Linked DNA regions of Arabidopsis thaliana. The protein of the gene in region 2 interacts with the protein of the main gene of each other region in a pairwise test. Each region holds a gene or a part of one and is shown on either strand. Other genes may lie near its edges. The genes, in order: GB2, AT5G40640, FEI1 and SMO1-2.

Region 1 (6,622 bases), on a different chromosome or scaffold from region 2:
TTTCTTGTTCAGATTTCCTTTTATTTTTTTTAAAGTAGGTTTTCTCACAGCCTCCTTTTTGCTCAAAAGATTCTCGAGTTTGTGGAGCAGTCAAAAGGCTGGTCAGCAATTGATTCATCAAGGAAGAGTGCAGAAGATGTGATGTTTAGCATCAGTGAAGAAGAGCTGTACAATATTCCAACCGCTGATTATTCCCACAGGACCAGGTTTCTGCAGAGGAATTTGACTGTGTATCACGTAGCATTCAGTGCTCTCGCTGATCTGAAGGATGTAAAAGTAAGATGATCTGTCTATCTAGATTCCAAAATGTCCTGAACTTAGTGGGAATAAAGATAAAGATAAGAAAAGCCAGTTTCGGAGTTTATTTTTGCATCTTACCAGCAATTCCTCATGGCAGGCAACGGAAGCTCTTCTTGAGATGCTTAAGAAAGACGGAAAAGATACTGACACTTACTGCATGCTACAAATCATGAGGTACAATAGAACACACACTTTGATGTTAATTTGCATCTAGATGTTAAAACATAGGCAGTCTTTAGCTACGAAATTAACTTTTGTTACTAGTATACTACACTATTAACTCTCGTTGAGAATCAAAACATGATTAACGTATATGCATCTTATTTTATATCTACGCAGGTGCTATCTACATTCGCAAGACTTTGAGAATGGTCTCAAACTGTTTCAAGATTACATGAGCGCAGACAAAATCCCTGCCATGGAACTATACACGGTAACACAATGATCTGACCTCATAACTGGTGTTTTCTATATTTGCTTTGAGAGTGAACGTCTTCTTTACTATATATGTCTTATAGTTGTTGATTCTCAATTGTCAAACCCCGCAAATGTATATACAAATAAATCTAAATTCTCAACTAACGCATTAGTCGAAGAGAATTATGCTTCTGTCCTGTTTCCCATACTTGGTTCAACATATCTTTGGGTGATATGTATATGCTGAAGATGTCAATTTATTTGTTTTATTTTTACAGACGCTTATAGAAGGAGCTATGACAGGATACACCGATAATGGAATGAAGATTGCTCAGGACACTCTGGTAATGCTTATTGGCTCGAGCTGTACTGAAAAAAAGAATCTATGAAGTAAACAAAACACGGGCCAATAGTAGAGCCTGATGACAATTTGTTTGTAAATGCAGATCCAAATGAACGAACGCAATTTCTTCTTAGACCCAAGAACTGGAAGCAATCTGTTACTCAAAGCCGCTGGTGAAAAGGTAAAAATCTTGAACTTCCCCTAAAAACTTTGGAAATATCTTACTGATATAAAGAGTTGGCTTAGTGAAAGTTAAAAAAAAAAAAACATTTTCTTTATGGCAGACGGGAGGGTACACAGTTGCAAATATGATATGGGATCTGATGCTAGCTCGGAATATTCTACCAACACTAGCTGCTGTTGAAGCTTACTACAAGGGCTTGAAAGTAATAAAAAACCTTTTTCTTATTTGACCACAAACTTTCTTTCTCTTGGTATTAGTTATTGATGGTTTTTGTGGTGTGGTAATCATAGGAACGCGAAATACCAGAGGATGATCCGAGACTGATGTTAGTGACGCGAACATACAATAACTTGCGGCTTAGGGAAGGGACATTACCTAATAGGCGTTAAAGCAAAGGGACCAAGAGGAAGAAAGATGGTATCATGGCTTCTTCGTTTTCTACTTCTATTTGCTTATTGGGATCTCTGTGAACCATCTGGGTATTTTAAAACCAGTTCGTTTAGATGAATAAGGAAATTTCACCTAGATGATGACTGGATATTATTCTGATTTGATTTCAATTACTTAACCTTGAGAGCTTCATACAAAGCGACAACGTTTTAAATAAGCCAACGCCTGTTTGGTTTATAAAGATCAGCCTGTTCACTCTTAAATGCACCCGTTTGGTTTTTTGATAAAAGACAATCTGGGAAAAAGAGAAAAAAAGAAAGAAAGAAAGAGAAACTATACATTCTGGTGTATCCATTTGCAGAGGTAAATAGAAGCAATAGTAGTTTCTGAATCACCAGATTACAGCAGATATGTGACACCTCTCTCGAGGATTTTTTAACCACAACAGCCACCTCCCTGAGAGATCGTACCATCTCTTCCTCCAGCTGCACCTTGAGTACGCCCGTAACCAATCTTGATACCTGATGACTGCAAAATTTAGAGAGACCAAGGGAATTGAATCACATTGTAACACAATCGAGGGATTAGAGAACACCAGAAGACTAAGTATATTGCCAGATTCAACAAGGAAATTACCTCGTTGGATACATCAAAGACACCATCCTGAATGTTCTGGAGGATCTTGGCAGCAGTCTCTATGAAGGCCTGTTGGAATCCAGAAAAAGAAGACAAAAGTCTCCATGTGATTACAGCCAAATAACAGGATGGGGAAAAAGAGTTGCAAGGAAGAAATGTCACCTCCTCAACGTTTTGAGCAGTTCTTGCAGATGCTTCTAAGAATAGCAGGCCATGTTCTTTGGCAAACTGTTGACCTTCCTCTTTGCTAACAGCTCTCTTGTGAGCAAGATCACATTTGTTCCCAATCAGCATAATACTCATGTTAGGATTTGCATGTTGCCGAGCATCCTCCAACCAGCTTGCCAGATGGTTAAACGTCTCTCTCCTGCAACCCAAAGAACCAAGAATTTTGAGCTTCAGAAAGATCAAAGCATGAAAAACCTCAATGATAAAACTCTTGCAATTCTTCATGTCCTTCATAACTTTCAAAATTCCAAAACAATGGAGGAAAAATATCTATTTTAGCAAGAATTTAAGATGGATGGTTAACTTAACATCCTCCCAAACAAGCATTGCCAATATTATAGCCAAGGATTTTGTTCAGATAAAAGTAACTTCCCAATTTCCAAAACCTTTCCAACAGTCTAGGTTTATCAAATCACAAATACAGAACCAATCACTTCCAAAACCTTGCTGGGGAATTCAGAAGTTCGAGCTGATATATATTGTCGCAAGGCAAAAACTAACCTGGTGATGTCATAAACCAGTAAAGCTCCGGCTGCTCCTCTGTAGTATGATCTGGTGATGGATCTAAAAGATTCTTGTCCAGCCTAAAAAATATCATACGAAACTTTAATCAGAAAGCACAACTCCAACACATACATCATCTAATGGAAGAACTATTGACCAGAAGAAATCACAACAAGGAATGCACTGGTGAACTCAGCTTCTATTACAATAAGCCTATGAAACTTAATCAAGAACCGTGCAATGATTAACTTTTTTGAAATTTTACCCCACTTTGAGTCTCTGGACATGATTTTCAAACATAATTTTTGGTATTGGCAATTCTAATGAGGCATTGTTTATATAAAAACGAAGAAATTGAATTGATTATGACAATTAATCTTCTTAATCACATCCTGCCTTAGGGAGAAAAAAAAAACAATCCTAATCGATAAAACGTGATTAGTTCCCTGATGACCTAATTACGACCAAGAGAAGAGAGAGGAAGCGTACGGTGTCCCAAATTTGGAGTTTGATGGGGCGTCCATCGACGGTGACCATCCGAGCACCGAACTCAACACCAATGGTGAGATCGTGGACTGGTTGGAACCTCTTATCAGTAAATTGCAGAAGCAGACACGATTTTCCCACACCTGAAACGACAAAAAAAACAACAACGAAAACACATGAAAATCGGCACGAAATGGATTTAACCCAGAAAAATAAAACAATTGGGAATTAAGAAAGGTGAAAGATCGGTCTCTCACCTGTGTCTCCGATGATTATGTACTTGAAGAGATAATCGTAAGACATGGTTGATGAATTTGAGCAAGGTCGATGATGAATTAGCGCAGGTCGATGGGTTCGAGAGAAGGAGATGTGAAAGAGAGGAAGAAGAGATTGAAGAGTACAAGTCACCGACGTGCTTTTTGATTTCGAGGTTTCTCGATGAAGAAGCTATCTTCTCCTTCTCATCTTTTATAATCTTTTTACTTAATTACTAAAATTAAAGGGATCTAATGACGAATTATCTGAATAATTGTTTTTCTTTTGTATCCTTAAGTTTCAACAGTAAATAAAAATCCACACAAAATACTCTATAGTATAATTTATTAATTATTATAGTCGTTTTAGTTAATTATTTAAAAACAGAGGGACCAGATGAAAAATATCTGGGAAACAAATTAAAGCTTAAAATCCATCTCTGCCTTTGGCTCCGTCCACTCTGACTCGACTAGTGCATCATCCATTGTTGGGCATTTGATAGTTTAAAGTGGGCTTTTTTATTTTTTTATAATGTGGGCTTTTTTCTTTGATGTTGAATGGCTTGGTTAGTGGATTTCGAGACCAGCATAAGTTTCTTTTTTCTATTCATCTGAAGCATGGCGCAGTCCATAATCGCTAAATTGATGATACAAAAGAACTTGCACATCAAAACTGTGAACTTACCAGAAATTTGCATTAGCAAAAGCTTCTTTTATTATATGATGGGGAATACACACGTACCTTGATACAAGGCTACTAATATCAATTGTGTCCGGATTATCACGGTAGTATGCTCTGTTTCATATCTCTTATGGAAATTACATAACTGTGTTTAAGATGAATGTTCTAGTGGGAAGATAAGAAGAACTCAAATCCTACATTAGAGATGAGTTCCTTACAAATGCTTATAGTCTACAATGGCAAATTCGAGAAGCAAATTCGAAACAGAGTTCCATCCATTAGAGAACAGGGGATGTTATTTCATCCCAAACTCAAACCGATCTTAGTTATGTTATTTCGTATTTTTTTGGGTATTTTACCTTCAAATTATTTGATTAATTTCATGCTTTAAGGAGAATTTGATTAAAATGAATATACAAGAGTTATGAATTTGATTATATTCTCTTATTCTACTAATCACGAAATATTTAGAGAATATGTAATTATCGTTTAAAGAACTATCGTTTTATTCATAAAAACTCTGTAAATTACCAATTTGATATACTTCTATCAAATTATTTATATTTTTTAGTTGTGTTAATTCGTTTTTTTTGGGTGTATTTATCTTAAAAAGATGGGATTAAATTTCATGATTTAAGGAGAAGAATCTTTTGAGAGATTCGAAACCGCGATAGCATTCCTTGTTCCTCCTTTTCTATTTACCTTTCTACTTTTGCCATCATCTTCGTCGATCTACTTCCCCCAAAGTCTAACCCTAAAGCCCCCAAATTTCTCCTGATCAAAACCTTGTTGTATAAATCCTGAATCTCTGAAGAAACTTCGAAGATTTGGGTTTCTCAATTTGGTTGAGAAATTCGCGATGAATCGCAATTTTTCACCAGCTGCGATGCCACCGATTTCATCAATGACAATAGATAATTCATTCTCTCCTCCTCCATCTTCCGGCGACTTACCTGAAATCCCAGATGCTTGGTACGGCAACATTCAGTATCTGCTTAATATCTCGGTCATTGGTCTCTTATGCTGCGTCTCCATCTTTCTCTTCGTTAAGCTACGCAGCGACCACCGTCGTATGCCTGGTCCTTCTGCTCTCTTCTCTAAGCTCCTCGCCGTTTGGAAAGCCACGTGTCGCGAGATCGCTCGTCACTGTGGTGCTGATGCTGCTCAGTTTCTTTTAATTGAAGGTGGAAGCTTTGTGCTTCTTTTCTCCATTGCTGTTTTAGCTGTTTCGGTTATGCTTCCGTTGAATTTATATGCTGGGACTGCTTTGTTGAGTGATGAGCTTTCGAAAACGATGATTACGCATATTCAGAAAGGTTCAGCTTTGCTTTGGCTGCATTTTGTGTTTGTTGTTATTGTTGTTGTTATCTCGCATTTTGGAATCGCTGCTATTGAAGCTAGGTTGAAGTTTACTAGGTTTAGAGATGGGAATGGGAATATCAGTGACCCGAACGCGAATTCTACTGCTGTGTTTACTATAATGGTGCAGGGTTTGCCTAAGAATTTAGGGTCTGATAGAGTTGAGTTTGAAGATTGCTTTAGGCTGAAGTACCCTGGGAAAGTTTATAAGTTTATTGTTCCCATGGATTTGTGTGCTTTGGATGATCTTGCTACAGAGTTGGTTCGTGTTCGAGATGAGATTACTTGGTTAGTTGCCAAGATGGACTCTAGGCTTCTACCGGATGAGTATGAGAATGTTGGAGATAACGGACTAGTGTTCTGTGTGTGTTCTTTGTGGGTTAGGGTGAAGGTTTTGTGGTCTCAGATTACAGAGAGGTTTGGATTTACAGATGATGAAAAACTGAGGAAGCTGCAAGAACTGAGAGCTGATTTGGAGTCTCAGTTAGCAGCTTATAAAGAAGGACGAGCACAAGGCGCTGGGGTTGCTTTTGTGATGTTTAAGGATGTGTACACAGCTAATAAGGCTGTTCAGGATTTTCGAAACGAGAGATCAAGGCGTACTGGAAAGTTCTTCTCTGTCACAGAGCTGCGATTACAGAGAAACCAGTGGAAAGTGGACAGAGCACCCTTGGCTACTGATATTTATTGGAATCATCTGGGATTGACAAAAGTTGCTCTTATTGTGCGAAGAGTGATTGTTAATACTATTCTACTGTTGATTCTTGTGTTTTTCAGCTCCCCATTGGCCTTGATCAGTGCATTGGTAAGTGCCGGGAGAATCTTCAATGCTGAAGCAT
Region 2 (8,185 bases):
GTAATTTTCACAACTTTGCATACACTTTCTAAACCTCTATAATTCGTGTCATGTCATAGCAAAGCGTGTGGATTTTTGTGTTAGTTAATAAGGTATTTGTTAGTTAGGTGAATAAAATCTTTTATATTCAACATTTGCCTCTAAAGATGTCCCTTGAGGCTTACTTTATGATATAGAAGGCCGGTTTGGTTATCCTTTATGGTATCAACCCACGTGGGTCGAAAAAGGCATAAAGATTACATTTTTTGTTATTATATTGATTTGAAATCTTTATAAATTTCAAACAACAACGATTTTCTTTTGCTTAAATCATTGCAATGTACAAAACTAAAATCATTCACATGTAAGGGAAATCTATTTGAATTATACGACGTGACATGTTAATTGTGTTGTTGCTAGACTTTAAACTTGGATATGTGTTATTAATCGATTCATCATCAGCTTCAGGATAAAGATAAATAGATAATATAGTTACCCACAAAAACATGGAACTTGTATATATGTCTTTTGCATTCTTTAGGTTATAAAAACATGGAATTGTGGAGCGTAATGGGCTTGAGATTCAACCTCACGAAAGCAATAAAGAGAAATAGAAATCTAAAAGTCTGCCGGTCAACAGACAAATATGACGAGAGATACACTACGCATGTCAATATATTTGATGCGATTTCCTAGAATCAAATATTATTATTCTATAATTCTTCTGTTAATTATGTATAAAAACATACCGTAAAATCTAAAACTTATGACGGGATAAAAACATACTCTAAAGATGTCTAAAGAGTACTTTAATTTCTTCAAGTTAATGTTTTCTCGTACAATATAGAAAAAGGGATTCGAAATAGATACGAATCACGCGATAGGTCACAAAAAATATTAAGCAGAGTACAAGAGTTACTAATGCAAGCACGTTATGCATGACTAACTATTGTATGTAAAAGAATAAAATCTGCTTATATGTAAAAGAGATTATTTGGTACTTGTTTAGTTGTTTAAGTCGTCGTGAGCATATAGCATCGTTTAGTCTATTATAATTTAATTGTAACTGCGGAAAAATTAAAAGTAAAAGAGATATAAATAAAGTTATCAAAACTTATCAAGTAGTTAGTGGGTTCTTTATTTGTCAACACACGAAAAATCAAATTTGCTTGGAATGGTTGATATTAGATTAAAATCTCTAAAAATACTCAAAAGTAATTCCAAATATGAAACATAGAACACTAACGTCCGATGTCAACCACTTAACACTAAAACAAAGTTGATTAAATAAGCTGAGGTCTCACGTTAAGTAATTTAACAATGGCATAGGAAATAAAGAGTACACAACATAAGCTATTTCTCATTGCACAAATAACTTTGAATGTATTCTATTAAATATCGTTTGGAACACAAGGTTGATTCTCGGACAATTTCCAAAAAATTTGCTCATGTGATCTTGCTCTTTTCTCGCTATACCAGTTCATGGTAATGTTTCTATTAGATAGTGACTAGTCGGCGTAGTAGTTTGAAGTTTCAACAAATTATAAGTTTAGACATAGGCCCAATCTTCTCTCGCTACCAGTTCATGGTAATGTTTCAACAAATTATATATAAGTTTGATTTGAAGTTTGTTGTCTTCAAGTTTTTGTTCCGTACTGATTGGGCCAATGTCTAAAGTACACTAGGCCGTCCAAAAGAGTCTGAAATTTTATTATAACTTAGACACATTTCATATGGGCTTCGTATCTTGGAGAATCATGAGTTGATCGTGATGCCGTCGAAATTTGAAGACTTTGGCCGGCTTTCTCCATCAATTTGGTCGGACTTTTATATTTGAGAGTTAAGTTTACTTTGTCTTTATAATTTTTTTTTTCGTAAACTATATCATTTCTGCTTGTCTATGTAATTTATGACAAGTTGATTTCAACAAGAAACAAAAGTTAAAAGTTGAAAACTATGATATTATATATGTAAATTTTTTCAGTTCTTTTGTTTTTATTTAATTAATTTTCATTTCTCAATTTCAAATTCTTCATATGTATTTTTCCTTTTTAATGACTTTAATAATATATTTATTCCCATTTTAAAAGCGTGTCTCATATGTTGTTTATTACATTTAAAATAAACAATTGTTAATAATCGTTTTTCTTATTATATATATTTTAATTAGATTATAAGACAAATAATCTTATCCTATAACCTTCAAAAAATCAAATTATATTATATTATTCAAAAAAAAAAAAATCTTATACAAAAACCTTCAAGTCAATCGAGTTTTATATGTTGGACTTATAAGACAAATAATTTTATAACAACATTCATGATACCATGTTAAGTTTTATATGCTTCTACTTAAAACTAATTGATTATAAGTAAAATTAACAAATCATTTATACACTTGTATTATTATAGGTCCATCACACTCCTCATGTATGATTTCAAACAAAGTGATTTTTGATGAGCTGGAGGGGTTAAACAATTTTAATTAAAAAATATATAAAAAATACTAAACTTTGTTTGACCAGTCGTACCAAGTTGAACCATGGTCTACCAGTTAATCCAATTTCAAATTATGTTTTTGTTTCAAGAAAAAATAATACTCCATCTGTTCTTTTTTGTTTGATTGTTTATAAAAAAAAATTGTTTCTAAAAGATTGATTTTTTAAGTTTTCCATGTAATATTTATTGGTTAGTATTGGTGAATTGTAATTTTCAAGAAAAATAGTTAATTATCATTGGTTTAGAGGTATAGAAAACTGTAAAACACTAAAAATAATATATTTATAATCAATATTTAATATATTTTTTTAATATGTATGTTTTTTCTAAACAATCAAACAAAAAAGAACAAATGGAGTAATTCAGAAACCATAGAAGAGGGAGCACCTGTCTTCGCTTTTGATTGCTTTTATATTTCTTTTTCCCTTCTTTACTTCCGATTAGGTTAGAATGCATAGAGCCATAGATTATTAGTCTTATCACTTATATTATTTATTTTTGTATATAATATTTACTTTTATAAATAATTATAAATCTTATACTATTAAATTTTATAAACAGATTTATTGTAATATTTTCCAATGATACCATTTAATATATAGTGATGTTTCATATAAAGTTCATTTTAAAAATGAAAATTATGTGTTTAGCAAAGGTGGCAATAGCTTTTAGAAAATAAAGTAGAAAATAATGGGTTTGCCAACTGCCACATAAAAAAAAAACCTCTCTTTTAATATATACTTAAATGTAATAAACAATAAGATAATGATAATGTGATTCTTTAACTGTCGCTTAGTGTCGACGTTAGAAAAAAAGAAACACTAAAAATGTTCGGTTCATGTCGTTTTCTCCAATTCCTTTATCTCGTGCTTCTCTTCTCAATACGAGGAGGAGGATGTGTTGGCCCATGCGTTAAACAGCAGCACAAAAACCGATCACCAAGAAACACACCCGATTTATTTAGCAGCACACGAAATTGAAATAATATGTAAATTAAAAAATATACTCTTAATTTATTCAGTTTTAAATGTATTTTTTGGTTTAGGGTTTATAGACGGTTTCTTAACCGTCAAATCTAATGTGTGTGTGACATATTCTTCTCTCTCTCTCTCTCGAATCTTTCGTGTTGTTTGCTGTTCAAAATTGAAATTTTAAATATTAAAAAAAAAGAAGAAAACTTGTTCTGCTTCTTGTCGTGTCCGTCACAGTTTGAATTTCTCTCTCTCTTTCTCTCTTCCTCATAAAAATCTCTGCTTTACCTTTTCTTTTCAAAGGGTTTCATTTTGATTCTAGGGTTGTTCTAAATGCGACATTTTGACTGATGGGTCTTTGTTGAATTTGAAGAGAGCAAAAGAGAAAGAGATTGTTCTAATGGAGCCTCCAACGGGAATCTTGGCTTCTCTGTGGCAATTTATACTCTTCATTCCTTATTTCACTGGTTTACTGCTTCTCGGTGTCATTAAAGGTAACAAATTTCAGACTTGAGTTCGATGATGTTGACATGAGATTGGCTTACTTGATTTGTGTAGGCCTCCATTAGGGTTGTTTCATTTATTCATCAATTTGCTTCAACAGTTACTGAAATTAGCATTTCTAACCAATTTAGCGATCTTCAATGCCATAAAGTTCCCTTTTTTTAATTGAAGTAAACACCTAATCCGTGAACGTTGTTCTGTTTTAGAGATCTTGCTCACTAGTTTAGTGGCTTAGGATTTATCTAAGAGTGATTAATTGGTACATAACATTCATCAAGTGCTTCCGAAGTTAGTGAATTTGGTATGAAATTAGTTTCTTCAGTACTATAAAGTTCTCTTTTTTTAATTGAAGCAAGCCCCAAAGGCCAAATCCGTGAGTTCTTTTACTAGTCTTGTTGACAAGTTTTGTGGGAATGAATTGTTGTGAACGTTTCTTTACTTCTTTTTTGTTTGCTTAGGTATCGTTTTATGCCCGCTTATATGCCTTACTGTGGCTATTGGAAACTCTGCAATCATCTTAGGCCTTTTACCAGTACACGCGATTTGGACTCTATATTCGATAGCGAGGTACTTACTTCTTTCTGAAACAATCTCTGCCCTCTATAATAATACCATTGTTATCTCTTTCGATGTTGTTGAAGTGTTTTTGTTTGAAATCAGTGCTAAACAGTTAGGACCAATCCTGAAGATCTTTCTGTGTTTATGCGTTCCTCTTGGTGTCATTCTCTGGCTTGTGGTTAGTATCTTAGGAAGTGTTCTTGGAGGAGCTATTTATGGATTTCTTTCTCCAATATTTGCTACTTTCGATGCTGTTGGTGAAGGGAAGTCTAATCCGTTTTTCCATTGCTTTTATGTAAGTCTCTTTTTCTCCATGTCTCGTTCTTTATGTTATTGAAGATTAGACCTCAACACCTACATTGTCTGCTTTCACAATTTAGGATGGAACTTGGAGCACTGTTCAAGGCAGTTTCACCGTTGTTTGTGATTTTAAAGATGTTTGCTTTCACTCCTACTTTTCTTTTATGGATGATCTTCGAACATCTACTGCGAACCGTCACTATTATGAAATAAGGTCTTCAGAAAATTTCAGTAAATTGTGTGTATTGATTACTTAACAGTGCTTTCTTACAGTTTTCACTTATATTTCTCAGGTTACTTCAAATTCCAGGTGCTGTGATTGTTGCGGTTCTCGGAATTCTTGTTGATTTCCCAGTGATTTCACTCTTAGCATTGTGTAAAAGCCCGTACATGTTGTTCAAAGGGTGGCACCGTTTGTTTCATGATCTCATTGGACGTGAAGGTCCTTTCTTGGAAACAATGTGTGTCCCAATCGCTGGCCTTGTGATCTTACTCTGGCCTTTAGCTGTTGTTGGAGCAGTTTTAGGATCCGTGGTCTCTAGTGTCTTCCTTGGTGCTTATGGCGGTGTAGTCTCATATCAGGTTATTAAACAATGACTTTTTTTTTTGAGGAAAATGTGAATGCTGATGATACTGAATTGGTTTCTCTTGTCATAACACAGGAGTCATCGTTCTTCTTCGGTCTCTGCTATGTTGTTGCTTCTGTTTCTATTTACGATGAGTATAGCAACGATGTTCTTGATATGCCTGAAGGTTCTTGCTTTCCCAGGTTTGTCTCCATTGGCTTATCTAGCAATCTTTACCTCTCTCTCTTTCTTTTCATTCTAAAACAGTGGTTTTATGGTTTTGTAACAGGCCAATATATCGAAGAAACGAAGAGGGCGCTAGTACGGCATTTTCTGGTGGTCTTTCAAGACCGAACTCCTTCAAGACAACTCCATCAAGAGGAGGATCAAACAAAGGCCCAATGATTGACCTGAAACCGCTTGATGTACTCACTAGTCACACTCTTCTTTTGGTTATCTTTGTATTTAAACCTGAAGCCTATTCTTTTGATCTTTGCAGCTTTTGGAGGCTCTATTTGTGGAATGTAGGCGGCACGGAGAGATTATGGTAACGAAAGGGATTATAAATTCAAAAGACATTGAAGAAGCTAAATCTAGCAAAGGCAGTCAAGTGATCAGCTTTGGCTTACCTGCTTATTCTCTTCTTCACGAGCTTTTACGCTCTATCAAATCTAACTCCACCGGTTTATTACTCGGTATGTTTCAACAGTTTTCTGTCAATTTTCATAACCGCATTATCTAGTAACTATTTGAACATCATCAAGAAACAAACAAAACCGTTTCTGTGTTTTTGTTTAGGTGACGGTGTAACGGAGATAACTACCAGAAACCGCCCAAAAGATGCGTTTTTTGATTGGTTTCTGAATCCGTTTTTGATCCTTAAAGACCAGATCGAAGCTGCAAACCTATCCGAGGAAGAAGAAGAGTATCTTGGTAAATTGGTATTACTCTTTGGAGATTCAGAGAGACTTAAAAGCTCCATTGTTGAATCTGAATCTCCTCCTCTAACTGAACTCAGAAAAGCCGAACTTGATGCCTTTGCTCGCAGGTAAAAAAGGCAAAAAAAAAAACACACACAATCTTGTTACGGCTTTCTACTTCGGATTCTAAGATGTGTTTTTGGTTTTGGTTAGGCTTCAAGGATTAACCAAATCAGTATCAAGATATCCAACATTCAGAAGACATTTTGTGGAACTAGTCAAGAAACTATCAAATGATCTAGACAATAAACATAACCGTTTTGAAGGCGGTTCGAGATCAGTTCCACGTCCCGGGAAAACGGTGTCTCGGATTTTCAGCCAAAAATCGTTCAAGAAAAAGACAAGTAGCAATGGGTCAGATCAAGATTCACCAAACAGAGGGTTAAGAGACATTGATATTGTGTAAGTAAATGTTATGCGACCAGAATTAGACCGAAACTTCGTCTGCTTTTAGCTCTGTAATGATAAATTTATACAGATTCCAAGTGAATATGAAACTGTTTCATTTATCTAACAAATGTTTTACATTCAGCTTTTGCTTGATGATGTGTTGTTTCTCAGAAACAGCAGAACCGTTTCTTCTGCAATAGAAATAGCAAGCTTTTAGTTTTTCTTTCACTTTAGACCTCATTTGATCTAAAACATAACAAACATAGGCTGATGTTTTCGTTAGTCATAAAATCTTGAGCAATTGGGATTAGAAATGTTACCGTAGGTTCATCTTGAGATTTGTTATTGTCACGGCGTTGTGAGGCGGCACGACCACTTGCGTTTGTCTTTTTGTCGTCTCGAGCTTTAGCGAATATAACCGTAAATCCTTCGGCTGATGCTGGATCGTTCACGTCCCATTCTCCAAATTTTGGTAATGGTCGATCTTGTTGTTGTCGTTGTTGATTATTCTGAAAGTTTCCAATCACAAAAATGTTTGATTTCTATTATAATCCAACGAAAACACACATGAAAATGCTATTTTTTGTATCAAATTTGTGAAACAAATGAGAAAGAAATGAGAAAGATCTTACCGATGCCATTCAAAGATTGTGTAAAAGATGCAAACAGAACATGAGATGATCTTTCTTCAAACAACAAGAAAACTTGTTTGTCTTCTCTTTTAGTTTTTGTTTTCTTAAAAGAATTTGATTACGTTTAAAGAATTAGAATTTGAGAACAGATTAGCGTTTTCTGAAAGTTTAAATATAGGTTAACGTTTTAATTATTGTTGAAACTTGAAAACAGAAAACACCAATCTTTTGTAGCGAAACGGAACGCTTTTTCTCGTACCGTCTTTTGTTTTCGAGTGAACTTCATCGTATCAAAACTCGCCACGTGATCTACACACTTCTCGAGGCGAACACGCGCATTTCAGAACTTATCCATTAATCTCTGTGATTAACCTATAAGCCGGTATTTATAAACGGTCACGATTTTCCAAGTTTTTTAATCAACGGTCGTTATTACGTAGACGAAGCTAAGCCTCACATCTACAAATACGTATACATACATTTTTACATAATAATTAATTAATAATTACAGGTTATTAACAAATTAATCATTTTTAATAGACTATTAAAAAAACAATTTCATTTCATTTGCTCTCTTCTCCGAGAAAATGGCGTTTGGTTTGATCGGAAGAGTTGTTGGAACCAAATCATCACGATTATCCACGGCGGCGCGATTGATTCCGGCGCGATGGACATCAACAGGATCAGAAGCACAATCGAAAGCTTCAACCGGCGGCGGAGGAGCGAGTCTGAAGACGTTTCAGATCTATCGATGGAATCCAGATAATCCTGGAAAGCCAGAGCTTCAAGATTACAAAATCGATCTC
Region 3 (8,718 bases), on a different chromosome or scaffold from region 2:
GAAGAATCTTGAAATTGGTGAAAGGATTTATAGGTTTGTTGTTACAGAATTTGAAATGAGTGTTAGGATTGGGAATGCGTTGGTGGATATGTTCTGTAAATGTGGGTGTCTCGATAAGGCTAGAGCGGTTTTCGATTCGATGAGAGACAAGAATGTTAAGTGTTGGACTAGTATGGTTTTTGGGTATGTTAGTACTGGTAGGATTGATGAGGCTAGAGTTTTGTTTGAGAGAAGTCCTGTAAAGGATGTTGTTTTGTGGACAGCTATGATGAATGGGTATGTTCAGTTTAACCGGTTTGATGAGGCATTGGAACTGTTCAGGTGCATGCAAACTGCGGGAATTAGGCCGGATAATTTCGTGCTAGTCTCTCTCTTGACAGGTTGCGCGCAAACGGGAGCTTTAGAGCAAGGAAAATGGATTCATGGGTACATAAATGAGAACAGGGTTACAGTAGATAAAGTAGTTGGTACTGCTCTTGTAGACATGTATGCAAAATGTGGATGCATTGAGACAGCTCTAGAGGTTTTCTATGAAATAAAGGAGAGAGACACAGCTTCGTGGACATCACTTATCTACGGTCTTGCGATGAACGGGATGTCAGGAAGAGCGCTGGACTTGTATTACGAAATGGAAAATGTTGGTGTTAGACTAGACGCTATAACATTTGTCGCGGTTTTAACAGCTTGCAATCATGGTGGATTTGTAGCAGAAGGCCGTAAGATTTTCCATTCGATGACCGAAAGACATAACGTCCAGCCTAAATCAGAGCACTGCAGCTGTCTGATTGACCTACTATGCAGAGCTGGTTTGTTAGATGAAGCAGAGGAATTGATAGATAAGATGCGTGGTGAAAGCGATGAAACTCTAGTTCCTGTATACTGTTCTTTACTTAGTGCTGCTAGGAACTATGGGAATGTAAAAATAGCAGAACGGGTAGCGGAAAAGCTTGAGAAAGTGGAAGTAAGTGATTCCAGTGCTCATACTCTGCTTGCAAGTGTATATGCATCTGCTAATAGATGGGAAGATGTAACTAATGTGAGAAGGAAAATGAAAGATTTGGGAATCAGAAAGTTTCCTGGTTGCAGCTCCATCGAGATTGATGGGGTTGGTCATGAGTTTATTGTTGGAGATGATCTATTATCACACCCAAAAATGGATGAGATCAACTCAATGCTGCATCAAACGACAAATTTGATGTTGGATTTGGAACATAAAGAAATTGATAGCTGAAACTTTCTTGTACATTCTCTAACTACTTCCCTTATCATTAACATTTGTTTCCCTGCTAATGAACCGGTTTTGAATCGATGTTGGTTTTGAATCGATATCAGCTTCTCTGTAACTGAATCAGGATTGATTGAGACTGAAGAAGAAGAAGATGAAGGAACATGGATTATTTCAAAAGAACATAAAGGCAGAGAGTAGTTTTTCTACAAAGGTCACAACTATACAATTCAATTTCATGTTCAAATAAAAGTTTTTATACCAAAAATCAGAACAAAAAGAGAAAGGGCTGAAAATGAATGGCTCGAATCTGGTAAAACTGGAGGGGCAAAGTAAATGGCAACACAACACAAAGACTCTGTTCCATTAACTGGAAAATTATGGCTCTTCGTTGGTATTTGCAGGTTTTCTCGGGGAGCAAAAACGGAAATCGAATAGCATTTGAAGGCTTTCCCCGGGAAACCGGACTCGGTTTACTTTTTTTCTCGAGGTTTCGACTGGTGGGTTTATGCAATTAATCAGAGCTGGAATCATAAAATTCGCTGGGACAAGGAGTCATGACCTCTGATTCAAGTAACTGGACAACCCGATGCATCGTTGGACGCTCTTCTGGACTCGGAGACACACACTGTGTTGCTATTGATAGTAGAGCGTCAAGGCTCTCCATCTGCATTCCTTCACAGTTTGGATCAACAATATCCCTTGGCCGTTTTTCGCTGATTAAGAACTTTAGCTGTAAATCATGAGTCAAAAGCTTTTTTAGTCAAGTTTGTCGTAACAAAATATCAGTATTGAAAAAGAATCTTATTTGCATACCCAACCAACAACGTTAAGGCCTTTCTCGATGAAGGAAGCATCGGTTGGTCTTTTCCCACTCAAGACTTCAAGAACCAAAACCCCAAAACTGTATACATCGGTTTTCTCAGTTGCTCTACCACTTTGCATATATTCTGTCAAATGGAAAAGTCTCAGCATTTGAAAGATCAAATCTTTATGTAAGTAAAGACTTTTAAAAGGCATATGTACCTGGAGCTAGGTACCCAAATGTGCCTGCAACAATGGTTGTGATATGAGATTCTTCGTCTTCCAACAACTTGGCTAGACCAAAATCCGATACCCGTGCCTCGAGATTGCCATCAAGCAAAATGTTGCTCGACTTTATATCACGATGTATAATCCGAGGAGAACAATCATGATGCAAATATGATAACCCTTTCGCAGCTCCTATGATGATATTTACGCGTGAATCCCAGTCCAATTGCTCGCCTCTCTCTACTAATTCAAGAACCAAACTTCTCAGTGAATCATTCATAATATGGAAGAGAGCCATAAAGAGCAGATTGATCATACCATGAAGTGCTTCATCAAGGCTACCACCGGGCAAGTAATCATATAACAGTAGCTTTGATGTTGGTGAATTGCAATATCCACGTAGATTCACGAGGTATCGGTGTTTGATGCTCCCAAGAATCTCAAGCTCCCGCTCAAAAAACCGATCAAACCCTTCGTTTAACTTTAGAATTCTCTTCAATGCAAAGACTTTGCCATCATCCATGGCCAGCTTATACACCGTTCCAAAGCCTCCACATCCAATTATGTGCTCTTCATTCAACATTTCCAGCTTCTTAATGATATCTTTGGAAGAGTAAGGTAAATCTCCGTGGAACATCACAATAGACGCACCTGAATTGAAAAAGTCACAATGAAGATTTAGGAGATAGAGAAAAATATGAAATTTCCCAATATTTAACGAGATAATATCTGTACAAAAAAAATCAATACGGCTCACCTCCACCAACATCCTTTGCAAGGCTTTTAATCTCGACTTTACCGAGCTTTTTATATAGAAAGCATCCCCAGAAACACATGAGTGCAACTAGGAGTAGCGCACCTACAGTTGCTGATGCGCTAATCAGCAGCTTACCAGAGTTTTTCTTTTGATTTTGACCTATAAAGTATAAGACACCAAATAAATATAACTTTACTGATAGAGAGCCACAACAAAACCTGTATATCACAAGAAATTCATAATTGCTTTTACCTGATTGAGAATGTGATGAAGGGTTTCCACTATCATCTTGGCACACGACATCAACATGCTTTCCACACAAGTTAAGATTTCCAATGAAGCTGTAGTAGTAACGCATCAGTTTGAGAATCATATAATTTCAGTCGCACTGATACAATCTAGCTAAATAGTTATGTGGTTCAAAAAATCATCTCGAATATAAGCGAAATATGAAAGATCAGCTGTATAAATGTAACTTTAGAGGATTGACAAAAAAAAAAAAAAAATGTAACTTTAGAGGCTTTATTTTTCTATCCCTACAAGAAGAAAAGGGTGTTTATTGTCTTACGAGTTCTTAGAAAATCCAGAGAGCACTCCGTCTGAAGGTATTTGCCCCACCAGGAAGTTGTTCGAGACATTGCTTCATAAGACAAACGAAACAGAAAGATTCACAGGACTGCAATATGATAAATTACAGCGGAAGTTAGAGATTAAGGTGCTCACAAGTTACTAAGCTTTTTTAACTGCCCAAGCGAAGCAGGGATAGGTCCACTGAGAGTGTTGCTTGACATGTCCCTTGAAAATAAAATAAAAAAGTCAAAAGTCAGTTTTAGTAGAGAAAAGAGAACAATCAATATGTGAATCTGAAGTAAACAATACATTATCATGCTTTTCAAATTGCTCACCAAGAGTTTAGGTATAACTAGTTCTGAATATAATGTGCATGAGAAGACATTATGCAGTCAACCATATGTTACCATGATCCTAGATGGTGATAGAAGTAAATGAAAACAAAAAACAAATAGATATTGCATACACTAAAAGAAGGATGCACTTGCAAGTACGTATAGGGAAGAGAAAAAAACATACAGCTTTTGAAGGCCAGGCAGGTCTCCCATTTCAGCTGGGATTGGTCCAGTGAAGTAGTTACTCTGCAAGTGACTGCAAAACCAGTTGGACAATTTTGATGACCATAAGCAACTGGAATTGGTCTCTCAGAAACCATGTGGAATCAGTATAAAATCCTGGAAAAGCGCTTACATTTCCTCCAATGCTGTGCAATTTCCCAATGCTGTAGGTATTGCTCCATATAAAGCATTGTTGTGAAGCATTCTGCAATGACACACAGATGATCAGAATCGAAGTACTCTCTTAAGCAATAAAAATGAATAAGGCTAGAGAGCACATACAAAAGCCTTAAATGGTCCAACTTTCCAATATCAGGAGGTAAAGGTCCCATTATTTTGTGATAAGTAAGATTCCTGCGAAACAAGAGTATTAGGGAGCACAAATACTGAAGAGAAAACCAGTAAACCTTGACAAGTTTGAAAACTTACAAGGTTATAACTCTTTTCGTTTTTGCATCACATGTCACTCCGTTCCAGTTACATGGATCTGGATCTTCCGGTCTCCACTGATGGATGAAACTATCTGATCTAGTAACTGCATTTCTGAAGCTCAGAAGCGCCTCGCCTGAAGAATGGAAACAAGCAATAAAGGATTAAAGCTCAATAAAAGGTCCAGGACGCTATGAATAGTAATAGTTGATTCATATCGACGTACCGTCAGGACTAATCGCTTGACTTTCATTAGATAGTGAGCAAAGCAACGAGATCAAAAGAAGCCATGAGCAGCAGCTTTTCATCTCACAGATGCCCATCATGGCACTGTCCAAGCATAATATAACTACTACCAATCATTTGAAAAGAACAGCCTCTTGGTTGTCAGTTATTAGTTGATTCCATGTCTATGTTCAAGTAAGAAACTAGACTCCTGAAAAACAAAGGAAAGCCCACAAAACTAATTGTCAATTACACTACACATTAAGCTCAGTCTCCACACAACTTATGCATGCTCTCATCTACATTTTGAGTACTCAAAACAGTGAAATTGCCTCACAAGAACCAATACACACTTTCCAATTGCTAAAATCAGAAAACGAGAGCTAAATTCGGCCAACAATCTCAAAATCATCATCAACAAAAGAGCTCAAAAACAGCTCTAGCTTAACATAGATTACGAAATTCCCAGATACCATCCAATCCTATAACACAATAACAACTGAAGATTCGAACAATATAACAAATCCAAAAAACGATTCAGCAAAAGACCCAAAACCCCACTCTTTCCAACAATATCAAAGGTTATAGCTTTAAAAGCAAACAGAATTAGTAAGAATTATAAGAACCTCTAAAAATGGATCCGAGAGGAGGAAGAATTGAGACAGAGGAAGAAGAAGATGACTAATTTGAGCTGTAAAGCAAAAAAAAAAAAATATAACTTAAGGAGAAGATAAAAAAAACAAAAAAGGAATCGACTTTTTATTTTGTTTGTGTGATTTATGGTAAGAGTGAAGAGAGAGAAAACTAGAGTGAGAGAGAGAGAGTGTGTGAAGAAGAAGAAGATGCTTTCTTCTCCAAAGCATACGACCAATGAGAAGAAACGAAGTGGGTCTCGCACGTGCCGATCTTGACCTCCCACACGTGTCAACCGACGCTTTCTTCATAAAACCCAATTATTATTGCCAGCTAGACCTTAGCTAAGCCTAATCTCTACAATGGTCGAAATCATTGGGCCCATTTTTAAGGCCCATTACGGTATAAGCCCAGCGGTTTGATTGAACCGGTTTGAGATTAGAAGCCATTGTTGTCCGTTGTTTCACCATCGCGTTATATCGATGGCTACGGCGGCGATTATTTCCGTGAAACCGCCGGCGAGCTTCTACTGCGGAGGAAACCGACGCGACGGAGGAAGGGGAATCACCATTGCACGAGTTTCTCGAGACGAACGGTTTCATGAGAGGATCGTTGGTCTCTCTGCCTCGACCGTGTTGTTCATCGGTTTAAGTAGCCTCCGCGTCTGTTCTCCGGCCTCCGCTCGAATACTACCACCGCCGATTGTCGTTACAGAGAATGAAATCAACACAGAAACTGTAGCTGGTGCGTGAAATTGAACATTTTCGTCACTCTTGGGATTTCGATGGATTTGAATTTTGTGTTCCAATGGAATGTTTTTGCAGGTGAAGAGAATCTAAATGAAGTTGAAGATGAAGAAAAACTGGAAGCTGATTTCGAAGCGTACAAGTCTAAAGTGTATTCTCTTACTGTCCCGCTAAAACTCGTTGCCTTGCGTGGCTCAGTGCCACCATCATGGATCAAGGTTTTAGTTTCACTTGTCTGTGTTTCCATTTCTATTTTGAATCTTAAGCTTATAGTTGAAAATGTATGTTGTTGGATTCTGTGAATGGAATTTAGGAGTTTATGAGCTCACAAGGGAAGAGAGTGAGGTTAAAGACTCAGTTTCGAGGAAATCTTGAAGAGATCTTTTTCGATCTATCGAAACCAAGTAAGAATGGAAAAAAGGGGGCTGCTTCAACTGCAGCAGCTGATATGATCAGCATTGGTGATTCTTGGCTTAGTTTTGCTATTAAGGAAAAGCTAATTGAGCCAATGAAAGGGATAGAAGATCAAGACTGGTATAAAGGCTTGAGTGATAAATGGAAGGTGAGAATTTAAATCAGTGGTTTAACAATATGAATATGAGTCTTTTTGAAAGAACACTAGCTTGAGAGATTTTAATAGGCATAATCTTTCATGTGTTTTGTTTTCGTACTCTGCTAGCTTGGGAATGTTCATAGGGTTCATTTCATGACTTAGAAAGTCTCAGATTTATCTCCGCAGGAACTATGCGGGAGAAAAAGCTCCTGACGGTGAAACGTGGGCTGTGCCATACCGCTGGGGCACCATGGTTATAGCATACAAAAAGAGCAAATTTCAGAATTATAAATTGGCACCGATAGAGGTTGGTATACTTTGTTGTTGCTAAATGCTGTCTTAGTGTTTTCCTATTTAAAAGAAGTGAATATCACTGAACATTTTGCTGAATTTAGGACTGGGCTGATCTGTGGCGACCCGAGCTTGCAGGAAGGATCGCAATGGTGAATTCTCCTAGAGAGGTTGTTGGTGCTGTTCTCAAATACATGAGAGCATCATACAATACGACAGACCTGGATTCACAAGTTCCTGGCGGAAGATTAGCAGTGGAGAAAAATCTGGCATCACTCATGAAACAGGTTATTACCTCTTTACTATCTCTCCATACCCTAAAGAGAACAGATGAGTTTAGGCTGACGTGTTTCACTCAACCTCTATAGTTATTGAGAAAAAATGACAATGGTGGCTGATCTTGTTTCCCCTTTTGCTTATAGATTAGACTATTTGATAGTAACAACTATTTAAAAGCTTTCAATGTCGGAGATGTCTGGGTCACTGTTGGTTGGAGCAGCGATGTTATCCCTGTCGCAAAACGTATGTCTAATGTTACAGTGATTGTTCCCAAATCCGGTGCCACCTTATGGGCTGATCTATGGGTAAGTTACCGTCGTAAAATCACTTAACCCTTCATCTGATATCTTGAATGCTTCTTGTTCTAAAGACGATATAACATATCTGGACACTAAACCGTGAAGCATAATTGTTTTTCAAGGCGATCCCGGCTGTTTCTGACTCTGGTAAAGAAGCAGAACAAAGAGGAGGACGAGTCCGAGGCCCATCTCCATTAATCAACCAGTGGATAGAATTCTGCTTGCAACCTGCAAGATCGTTACCATTCACACGGGAAGTAATTCCTGGTGCATCTCCTTCAGCTCTTGATGGTCCTCTGGTTACAGAACCCGAAAAAACAAAGAAAGACAGAACAAAACTGGACACAAACCTGGTCACAGGTGTTCCTCCTCCGGAGATCTTGTCTAAGTGTGAGTTCTTGGAACCTTTACCAGAGGCTACGCTATCGGAATATCGGCTTCTGATTGAAACTGTAAGGAAGCAAAGCCAAAGACCTGGCCTTGTGGAGAAACTAAAGGACATTGTTTCAATTAAGGTTCGAGGATTTAGGGCAAAGCTTGACTCCGAGATGAATAAGAACATTTGAGAGACGGACAAAAGTGGAAATGGAATCATTTGTATGATTACATAGAGCAACTTCATGTTGGTTAACATAAGGGGTTTTCTATCTCCTTATAACAGAGTATCATGTCATGAAGAGCCAGAGGCTGATCGCCTTTGCTCATGTTACTAGTTAGTCGTTAGTTCAAACACTATAGATGCCAAAACAAGTGTATAAATTAAATTAAACTACACAAAACGCCTAATATAACCTAACATTATTTAATTTATTGGCCATCTAAGAGGTAAATATCATGTAAAACGGTGTTAATGAATGCTTTGTTTTGAAAATGAACAAGGGAAAGTTAAATGTTCTTTTTCTTGGGACTATCAGCCCAACAATGAGCTATGAAGAGCCGAAGCGTTTTCACATTCCTCAAGTTTTCGTAATCAACGCGAGTCACATTCAAACACGTATTATATGCTTTTAAAGTGAGTGACTCTGCGTTTTCTCGATTCTGTTTACTTATAAAAGTTGTTGTGTGATAATTTTCTCTATCAAGTATGGTAGTGTGACACTCGGTTCTAGGATTTAGTCTCTC
Region 4 (6,653 bases), on a different chromosome or scaffold from region 2:
TGTGGTTTATGTTATAGCATTGTTTTGGAGTTATAGACTCATAAAACGTGTCTTGAATGTGTTTTGGAAAATGTATGATGAGGATGCTTGAAAAACTATATAAAGATGCACAAATGTCGAAACATGGTACCTACTTAATTAATTTCGGTGATTTTTCTTTTTTTTTGATTTTTCCAATTTTTGGTATATTATTTACCCTTTGAGAAGTCCGCCAAATTGGGTCCTCAATGTATTTGTTTTTTGACTTTTTAGTAGAACACAACAAAACATATCTTATCTCTTTACGTCTATATTTGATACGAACGGGTCACATTTTCGTTTTTTAAAAATATAAAACGAAAATTCAAAGTTACTAAGGTTGTTATTTTTTAGTAGTTATTTAGGTTAGAAGATATCTAAAATTGTATGTTCGGAAATATTTGTTGCAAATTCATTTATAGACCTATCATCAGGAGTAATTTCTTTTCACCAAATGATTTTGAATAGCTAAAGCCTTTCTTCATTGTTTAACAATCTACGAAACGAAGAGTGATGATCCATACGTCTAGAAAAGAAAAACTCGTTGATACACAAAATATGTGTGGACAAAAACTTAATATCAAGTTCATTAAAACTCTTTCGTGAATTGGTTTAAGAGTAAAAACTTATTGAAGTAGTTTACAATATAGCCTCATTAAACCAAAAAAAAAAATATAGCCTCACACAGCTACAACCCCATTCTTGAAGTTATTATCATATTCACTGTGTCCATGGTAATTCTAAGACAACGAGAACAAGGAAATGTGTGTTAAAGAAAAACTGTGTGTTGTTAGGTTTAGTTGAAAAAACACAGGAAGGAAGAGAGTGTTTCGATTTTAAAGTCATAAATTAGTTGGTAACAACTAAATAAGTTATTGTACCTACTACTGTACTTAAAACTGTTGTTTTCAAGTTTGGTGAGACAGCTTTAGTAAATGCATGTGTTTCGCTTGTTTTAGCCTTCTTTGATTAGATTTGTTTTCCGAGAGTGAAATCGACCCCCATCATCAATGCAACTATCGTTATGGTAAGGATTTTCCTTTTAAATCATGCCACTCAAATGCAACAAAAAGGAAAAGAAACGCCCACCGTGGGGCTCGAACCCACGACCACAAGGTTAAGAGCCTTGCGCTCTACCAACTGAGCTAGACGGGCCTTGTTGTTAACGTTAGATACTTAAGTTATACTTAACTTAACTTAATACTATCAGAGTAGGAACTTGTTACAAGCCAATGAATGCACTATGTAACATTTAAAATATACAAAAAGGATTTATTGACACACACCAATTCCAAAAGAGTTTTAAAAAAAACTTCAGATAGGAACTCGTCACGAGCATTTTCATGTGACACAGGGAAGACCAGAACAGAGAAAACTAACTACCCTTTCATTTTTAAGTATTGACTACATTTGTAGAATGCTTGAAACTTACGGTAAGTCAACCTCGCGAGGGGTTTTAGATTTACTAATCGAATTTCTCTCCTCCATTAACCAGCTTGTTGCTCTTCTTGGACTTCTCCTTCATCTGCAACTCATAAGATATAGCATCAAGAAACATATCATCAATATGATGATACTAGATACCACATATACTGTTATGTGAGCTTGCAATTTGATGGCTGCGTTTATGGGTATGCGGTATGCCGAGAGATAAGCTAGTCTCAGTTTATGGAGTATTTATTTACCTGCTGAAGAAGCTTCTTCTGGAATCGGTAACCCTGATGAAAATAAGAACATATACCCACATTGTCAAATTTTTATCCAGAATTAGTAGACGCTAACCGGAAAAGAACTGAAGTTTCATTACTCACTTTATCAGTTCCATAGATGTAATCGCAGTAAGTAAAAACTGAAGCAAAGTTACTCTGGCTTTGTCCTCCAACGTAGTGATGGTAATCATGATACTCAGCTCCACCATAAAATGGAATGTACTTTGTCAGAGACCATGGGAAATCATATCTTCAAAAGAAAACGAAAAATAAAAAAAACAAGTCAATTTATCTCCAGAGAAACAAGTTTCATGCACCAAGCAATCATCATATTGTCCAAATACTTATTTGAACAAGACAAGATGCTTATCATCTCAAGAATGATTTCTTGCTCATGTTGACCACAAAAGATTAACTAAGCAGTCTCTAAACAATCACCTAGAGCTAATTACAGTCAATAAAGCATCAGAAAAGGCTAGTGCCTAACCTTAGCCCCACCAACAAAAGGTAAACGCACTATTGAAACTTCCCACATAGCCCCAACGCATTATAAACTAAGATAAACAATTCAAAACCATTCCTTTTCCTTACCCGCTATGAGTTTCGATAGCCTCAATCTGTCGTAAAGCAATCCACAACCAAAAGGTAATCATATGACCAGGAGCAATAGCAGGTCCAAGAAACGTGGGAATGCCAAGAAGCAAAACCTCAGCCCAATGAGCATAAGGAGCAGCATAACCAATAGGAGCTGTATACTCATGATGAATATGATGAAACTTCTCATAACCCCATTTACAATGAAAGAATCTATGAACCCAGTAATTAGTATAATCCTCTACCAAGAAGTAAACCACTAACTGTGCTACAATCTCCATACATGATGGTAATGGTAATCCACTTCGTATCTCAATCATCTGTTTCAACACACGAAAAACAAAATCAACCTAAATCGCATCAATTCCGAAATTAGAAGCCAAATTCCAGAAATTAACCTGAATCGAAGGATAAGAAACGAGTTGTAATGGACCAACGACGAGGATGAACATCTTCATGACGTCTTTGTAACATTTGAACATCGATGAGAATGAGTTTTTCACTTTTGGTTGGATTTTGTAGCGATTGAACAAATCTGAGGTGGATTGAGATGATTCGATGAAAACGAGAGGGAGAGGAACGAGAGAGAAGATGAGGAAGAGGAAGAGAATGTTGTGGCAGTAGAGGTAGTAATCGGATTTGGTGGCGGAGTAATCGAACCAGAGAGTCTCTAGCCATGTGAGGTTTCGAGATAATGCGATCGACGCTTCTTCGATTGTTGCGTATGGGATCATTGTAGAAGATGATGAAATCGTTTCCTTCCGGTGACGGCGACGGTCGTTGACGTGAGATTGAGATTGAGATTGAGAGAGAGAGTGAGAGAGGAGAGTGTCGTCGTTGTTGTTGGATTTTGTCTGTTATGATTTGGCGAATATTTGGAGTAGTGACGTGGCATTATCGGTTTAGTTTACAAGTGTGATGTTTACTTGTTGAACCGGATTAAACCAAAATTACTAACATTGTCTCAAGATCTCGCTTACAACATAAAAAAGAGGGACAAAATGGCCCATACTAAAAGCCCATTATAAATTATTGGGCCATTAAAATGGATAAAATGTACTCCACAGTAGCGTTGTGTTTGGAGTAGGCCCAATTTTCTTTCTTTAATTGTTTAAATGGTGCATACAAATTTCTGTTTTTTTTTTTAAGAAAAAAAACTTTATTATACACTTGGATATACACATATATATAAAGACACGGATATACATACACGAGTTTTGTGGAATGTGTCTATGAATTTTTATGACACCATTATACTATAGAGATAGCAAAAGGTTGAAATAAATTGAGGCTGTTGGCCAATTGTATTTAAGTAATAGAATGGTATTACATCATCACGAAAAGTGACGTTACATTTGAAATTATAAAGTCTTACAATTTTTTCGTCATGACAATAAATGATATTTAAATGTAATAATACATATTTTTTAAGTTTCAAGTATACATAAAAAAGGGTCACAAACGATCGTTGTTAAATACTTGGTGGAAAACAAGTGCGTTACGCGTGAACATGAGTGCGTATGGCATAAGAGAAGTCGACCACACCATTAATGACTTTAAATCAAGCCCAAAAGTTCTTTCTTTTAACAGTGGAAACAAACCTCGGACCAATCTCAGCCACACAAATTCTCCTTTTTATTTTATGTTGTTTTTTCTTGACGTTGATGAATTCTTGTTTTTGGTTATAAATTTTTTATATTACTTCCATTACTCAGCACTTTCGTAAAATTTAATGAATTGATGATACTAGTTGAGTCTCCCTCCTCTCTAATTGTTTATGTGTTTTTTTTCATTTGTTTATGTGCTTCTCACTATCACCTTAGATTTTTTGTGTTTTACGAAACTTGTTTGGGTTTCTCGTTTTCTTGTTTAACGTGTCAACTTTTCTACAAATCCAATAGTTTTGTTTCCTTTACACTTTATAGGATTGTGAGTCTCCCAAGTAATCTTCTAAAACAATGCATCAAGAAATTTATATTCATTTGTACAAGTATATTATTGCCTTTTTCCAACACATTTTATCCATAATAAGGATAGATTTTTTAAAAAATACTCCGTATGCTAACCAGAAAACATTTTAGCTCCATAATTACATAGAAGTTTTAATCTAATACAGTGCTACAATTCAACGCATTTCTATTTTACTATAATAAACACAAGTACGTAAGAATCAGCACAAGATATCATACTATAAAAGAATCGATCGTCGACAGGAAATATAAATACTATATTACAAGAACCACGTCTATATTACTACCTTTAATCGTGTATTTTTTTTGGTCGGTTTGAATTTAAATGTTAAAATCCACACTTATGTTAAAAAGAAAAAAAAAAACAATTTGATTTGGAAAAACATTTGAAAAATACAAATGAAAGAAAAGAAGATAATAAAAGAGTAAAGCAAAGCAAAAGCAGAGAATAACTCTTAATTCGCTTCTTTGCCAAGCAAACCACCAAAACCTCTCAATTGTTTTTTCTTCTTCCTCCTCCTTAAGCAAAGATCATCATTCACGAAATGTCTGATTCGATTCACCGGAGAAAAGTTTCGAATCCTGTAGGAAATGGAGGTCGGAGCTCCAGAACAAGACGAACAGCTTTCAGATATGTTTCCGACAAGAATAATCGCTCTAAATCGAGTAATAAGGTTTTCGAGAGAAGCTTCTCAGAGCCGAGTCTTAATCGCCACCGCGACGGACAGAGTAATCACTTGCGGCGACCATCGCCGATGAGAGGTTTACCGATGGAAGAAGAAACAAAACCGATCGTTTACTTGCCTAGGATTCGCTCTGAGGTTTTCGCTTCGTCTCCGTCGTTGTTGAACTTATATTCGCCCTCGTCTTCATCTCCGATCAATCAAGAGGTCAGAGTCGTTTGCTTCTATTTTTTCAAATCAACAAATTCATGATTTCAACTCTGTAAGAGAATTCATCATTTAGTCCACAAAGATTTAAAAGTTTACAGTTTAAGCCTAATATTATAAAATATTTCAATATAACCATTATATAGGCTGAACAAAGAGTTTTAAGTTCAGCTGCAAATTCTAGAGTCAGTTCTCCAGTTCATGTTATCAGATCGTGATAAATATACCAAAAATTGACATTTCTATTAAATTTCTAAAATCAGAGAACCTCATTTTGTTATTATTTTTCGAAACAGGGTAATACAAAAGAAGCACCAAAAGTAATAATCAGTGTAGCAGTAGAAGGAAGTCCTGGACCGGTAAGAGCAATGGTTAAACTGAGTTGCAACGTCGAAGAAACGATCAAAATTGTCGTTGACAAGTACTGTAAAGAAGGAAGAACTCCAAAACTCGATCGAGATTCTGCCTTTGAATTGCATCAGTCACATTTCAGCATCCAGTGTAAGATATATTAATTATCCAAAAATAATAATTGTTTTTACATATAGAATTAATAAAATAAAAGCACAAATGATGTTTTGGTTGAAATTTTGAATCAGTTGTTTTCAGTTTGACGTAGATTGATTGGATTAAATATCTATACTCCATGATATCTAGTTTTGCTTTAATCACCAACGGTTATGGAAAATATCAAAACTACTCATGGCTCATGTGAACATAGAAACATCACATAATTCTTGAGTTATATAACCTATAATAAAGAAAATGGTGACTAAACCTAACGATTTACCTCTCTTTTTTGTCACATAATTGAATGGTTAAGACAATCAAAATATACTTAAGTTTGATGTAATGTAATTTTCAGGTTTGGAGAAAAGAGAAATAATTGGAGAATTAGGCAGTAGAAGCTTCTACATGAGAAAGAAAGCTCCTGAAACCGGAGGTTCGTTCGCCGGGATTTCTCCAGCGAGAACGAGCCTAATTCCGTCGTCGAATTTGATCGGATCGTGCATCGCTCAGTTGATTGGGAAAATCATGAGGAGAACAAGAAGGATATGGAACATATTGGTATGTGTGCAATGAGATAGACCAAAGTATACACTTTTGAGCGTGGCACATAATATTTTTTAGTTTGTGTTTTGCTCCACTCTCATCAAATAAGGGAACCTTGTACTTTATGAAATTGTATTATAAGTGTGTATATATTTGTGACGATAGATGGATATGGTTCTACGAAATTATTGATTTATGAGGAAAAAATTCATACACACTTCGAGAAAATAACAGAAAATTGACTTTTGAATTATAATTGTGAGAAAAATGAGAGATCAAACCTTCTGTTTGAGTCAGAGTCTTTAGGAAGTATCTTCTTCTTCTGCGAATTGCAAAACCCAAACAGGTTTATAACAGAGAGAAGTTGCCGTCGCTATCGCCGACGCCTCCACCACTACTCGGCGATCACTGTAGTCCTC

What was found.
Region 1: the proteins of AT5G40640 (region 2) and GB2 interact in a protein complementation assay, tested with the Arabidopsis thaliana proteins (one large-scale study listed by BioGRID).
Region 3: the proteins of AT5G40640 (region 2) and FEI1 interact in a protein complementation assay, tested with the Arabidopsis thaliana proteins (one large-scale study listed by BioGRID).
Region 4: the proteins of AT5G40640 (region 2) and SMO1-2 interact in a protein complementation assay, tested with the Arabidopsis thaliana proteins (one large-scale study listed by BioGRID).

The regions. Positions count from the first base shown.
Region 1 is NC_003075.7:16,985,049-16,991,670, forward strand, and holds GB2 (GTP-binding 2), read right to left. Parts: upstream 4,000-6,622; 5' UTR 3,792-3,999; coding exon 3,746-3,791; exon of another isoform or gene 3,632-3,745; coding exon 3,492-3,631; intron 3,083-3,491; coding exon 3,000-3,082; intron 2,638-2,999; coding exon 2,433-2,637; intron 2,340-2,432; coding exon 2,271-2,339; intron 2,163-2,270; coding exon 2,070-2,162; 3' UTR 1,792-2,069; downstream 1-1,791. Other genes in the region: AT4G35850 (Pentatricopeptide repeat (PPR) superfamily protein), read left to right, coding at 70-276, 398-474, 640-733, 996-1,061, 1,164-1,241, 1,345-1,446, 1,535-1,633; AT4G35870 (early-responsive to dehydration stress protein (ERD4)), read left to right, coding at 5,284-6,622. UniProt on the Arabidopsis thaliana protein: Intracellular vesicle trafficking and protein transport.
Region 2 is NC_003076.8:16,273,496-16,281,680, forward strand, and holds AT5G40640 (uncharacterized protein), read left to right. Parts: upstream 1-3,546; 5' UTR 3,547-3,849; coding exon 3,850-3,943; intron 3,944-4,411; coding exon 4,412-4,520; intron 4,521-4,613; coding exon 4,614-4,806; intron 4,807-4,891; coding exon 4,892-5,025; intron 5,026-5,104; coding exon 5,105-5,393; intron 5,394-5,473; coding exon 5,474-5,580; intron 5,581-5,666; coding exon 5,667-5,802; intron 5,803-5,876; coding exon 5,877-6,072; intron 6,073-6,175; coding exon 6,176-6,425; intron 6,426-6,510; coding exon 6,511-6,763; 3' UTR 6,764-6,914; downstream 6,915-8,185. Other genes in the region: AT5G40645 (RPM1-interacting protein 4 (RIN4) family protein), read right to left, coding at 6,915-6,938, 7,068-7,256, 7,380-7,388; SDH2-2 (succinate dehydrogenase 2-2), read left to right, coding at 7,967-8,185.
Region 3 is NC_003070.9:11,246,538-11,255,255, reverse strand, and holds FEI1 (Leucine-rich repeat protein kinase family protein), read right to left. Parts: upstream 5,639-8,718; 5' UTR 4,897-5,638; coding exon 4,797-4,896; intron 4,707-4,796; coding exon 4,571-4,706; intron 4,496-4,570; coding exon 4,424-4,495; intron 4,347-4,423; coding exon 4,275-4,346; intron 4,176-4,274; coding exon 4,104-4,175; intron 3,810-4,103; coding exon 3,738-3,809; intron 3,655-3,737; coding exon 3,583-3,654; intron 3,356-3,582; coding exon 3,267-3,355; intron 3,174-3,266; coding exon 3,015-3,173; intron 2,909-3,014; coding exon 2,576-2,908; intron 2,501-2,575; coding exon 2,252-2,500; intron 2,176-2,251; coding exon 2,042-2,175; intron 1,959-2,041; coding exon 1,740-1,958; 3' UTR 1,341-1,739; downstream 1-1,340. Other genes in the region: AT1G31430 (Pentatricopeptide repeat (PPR-like) superfamily protein), read left to right, coding at 1-1,231; AT1G31410 (putrescine-binding periplasmic protein-like protein), read left to right, coding at 5,911-6,172, 6,253-6,392, 6,488-6,736, 6,900-7,034, 7,123-7,305, 7,441-7,602, 7,719-8,162.
Region 4 is NC_003075.7:11,953,641-11,960,293, forward strand, and holds SMO1-2 (sterol C4-methyl oxidase 1-2), read right to left. Parts: upstream 3,279-6,653; 5' UTR 3,056-3,278; coding exon 2,720-3,055; intron 2,642-2,719; coding exon 2,319-2,641; intron 1,978-2,318; coding exon 1,830-1,977; intron 1,737-1,829; coding exon 1,704-1,736; intron 1,544-1,703; coding exon 1,484-1,543; 3' UTR 1,200-1,483; downstream 1-1,199. Other genes in the region: AT4G22758 (PPR containing protein), read left to right, coding at 4,837-5,181, 5,478-5,682, 6,047-6,264. UniProt on the Arabidopsis thaliana protein: Non-heme iron oxygenase involved in sterols biosynthesis by catalyzing the removal of the first methyl group at the C-4 position. 4,4-dimethyl-9-beta,19-cyclopropylsterols such as 24-methylenecycloartanol are the preferred substrates.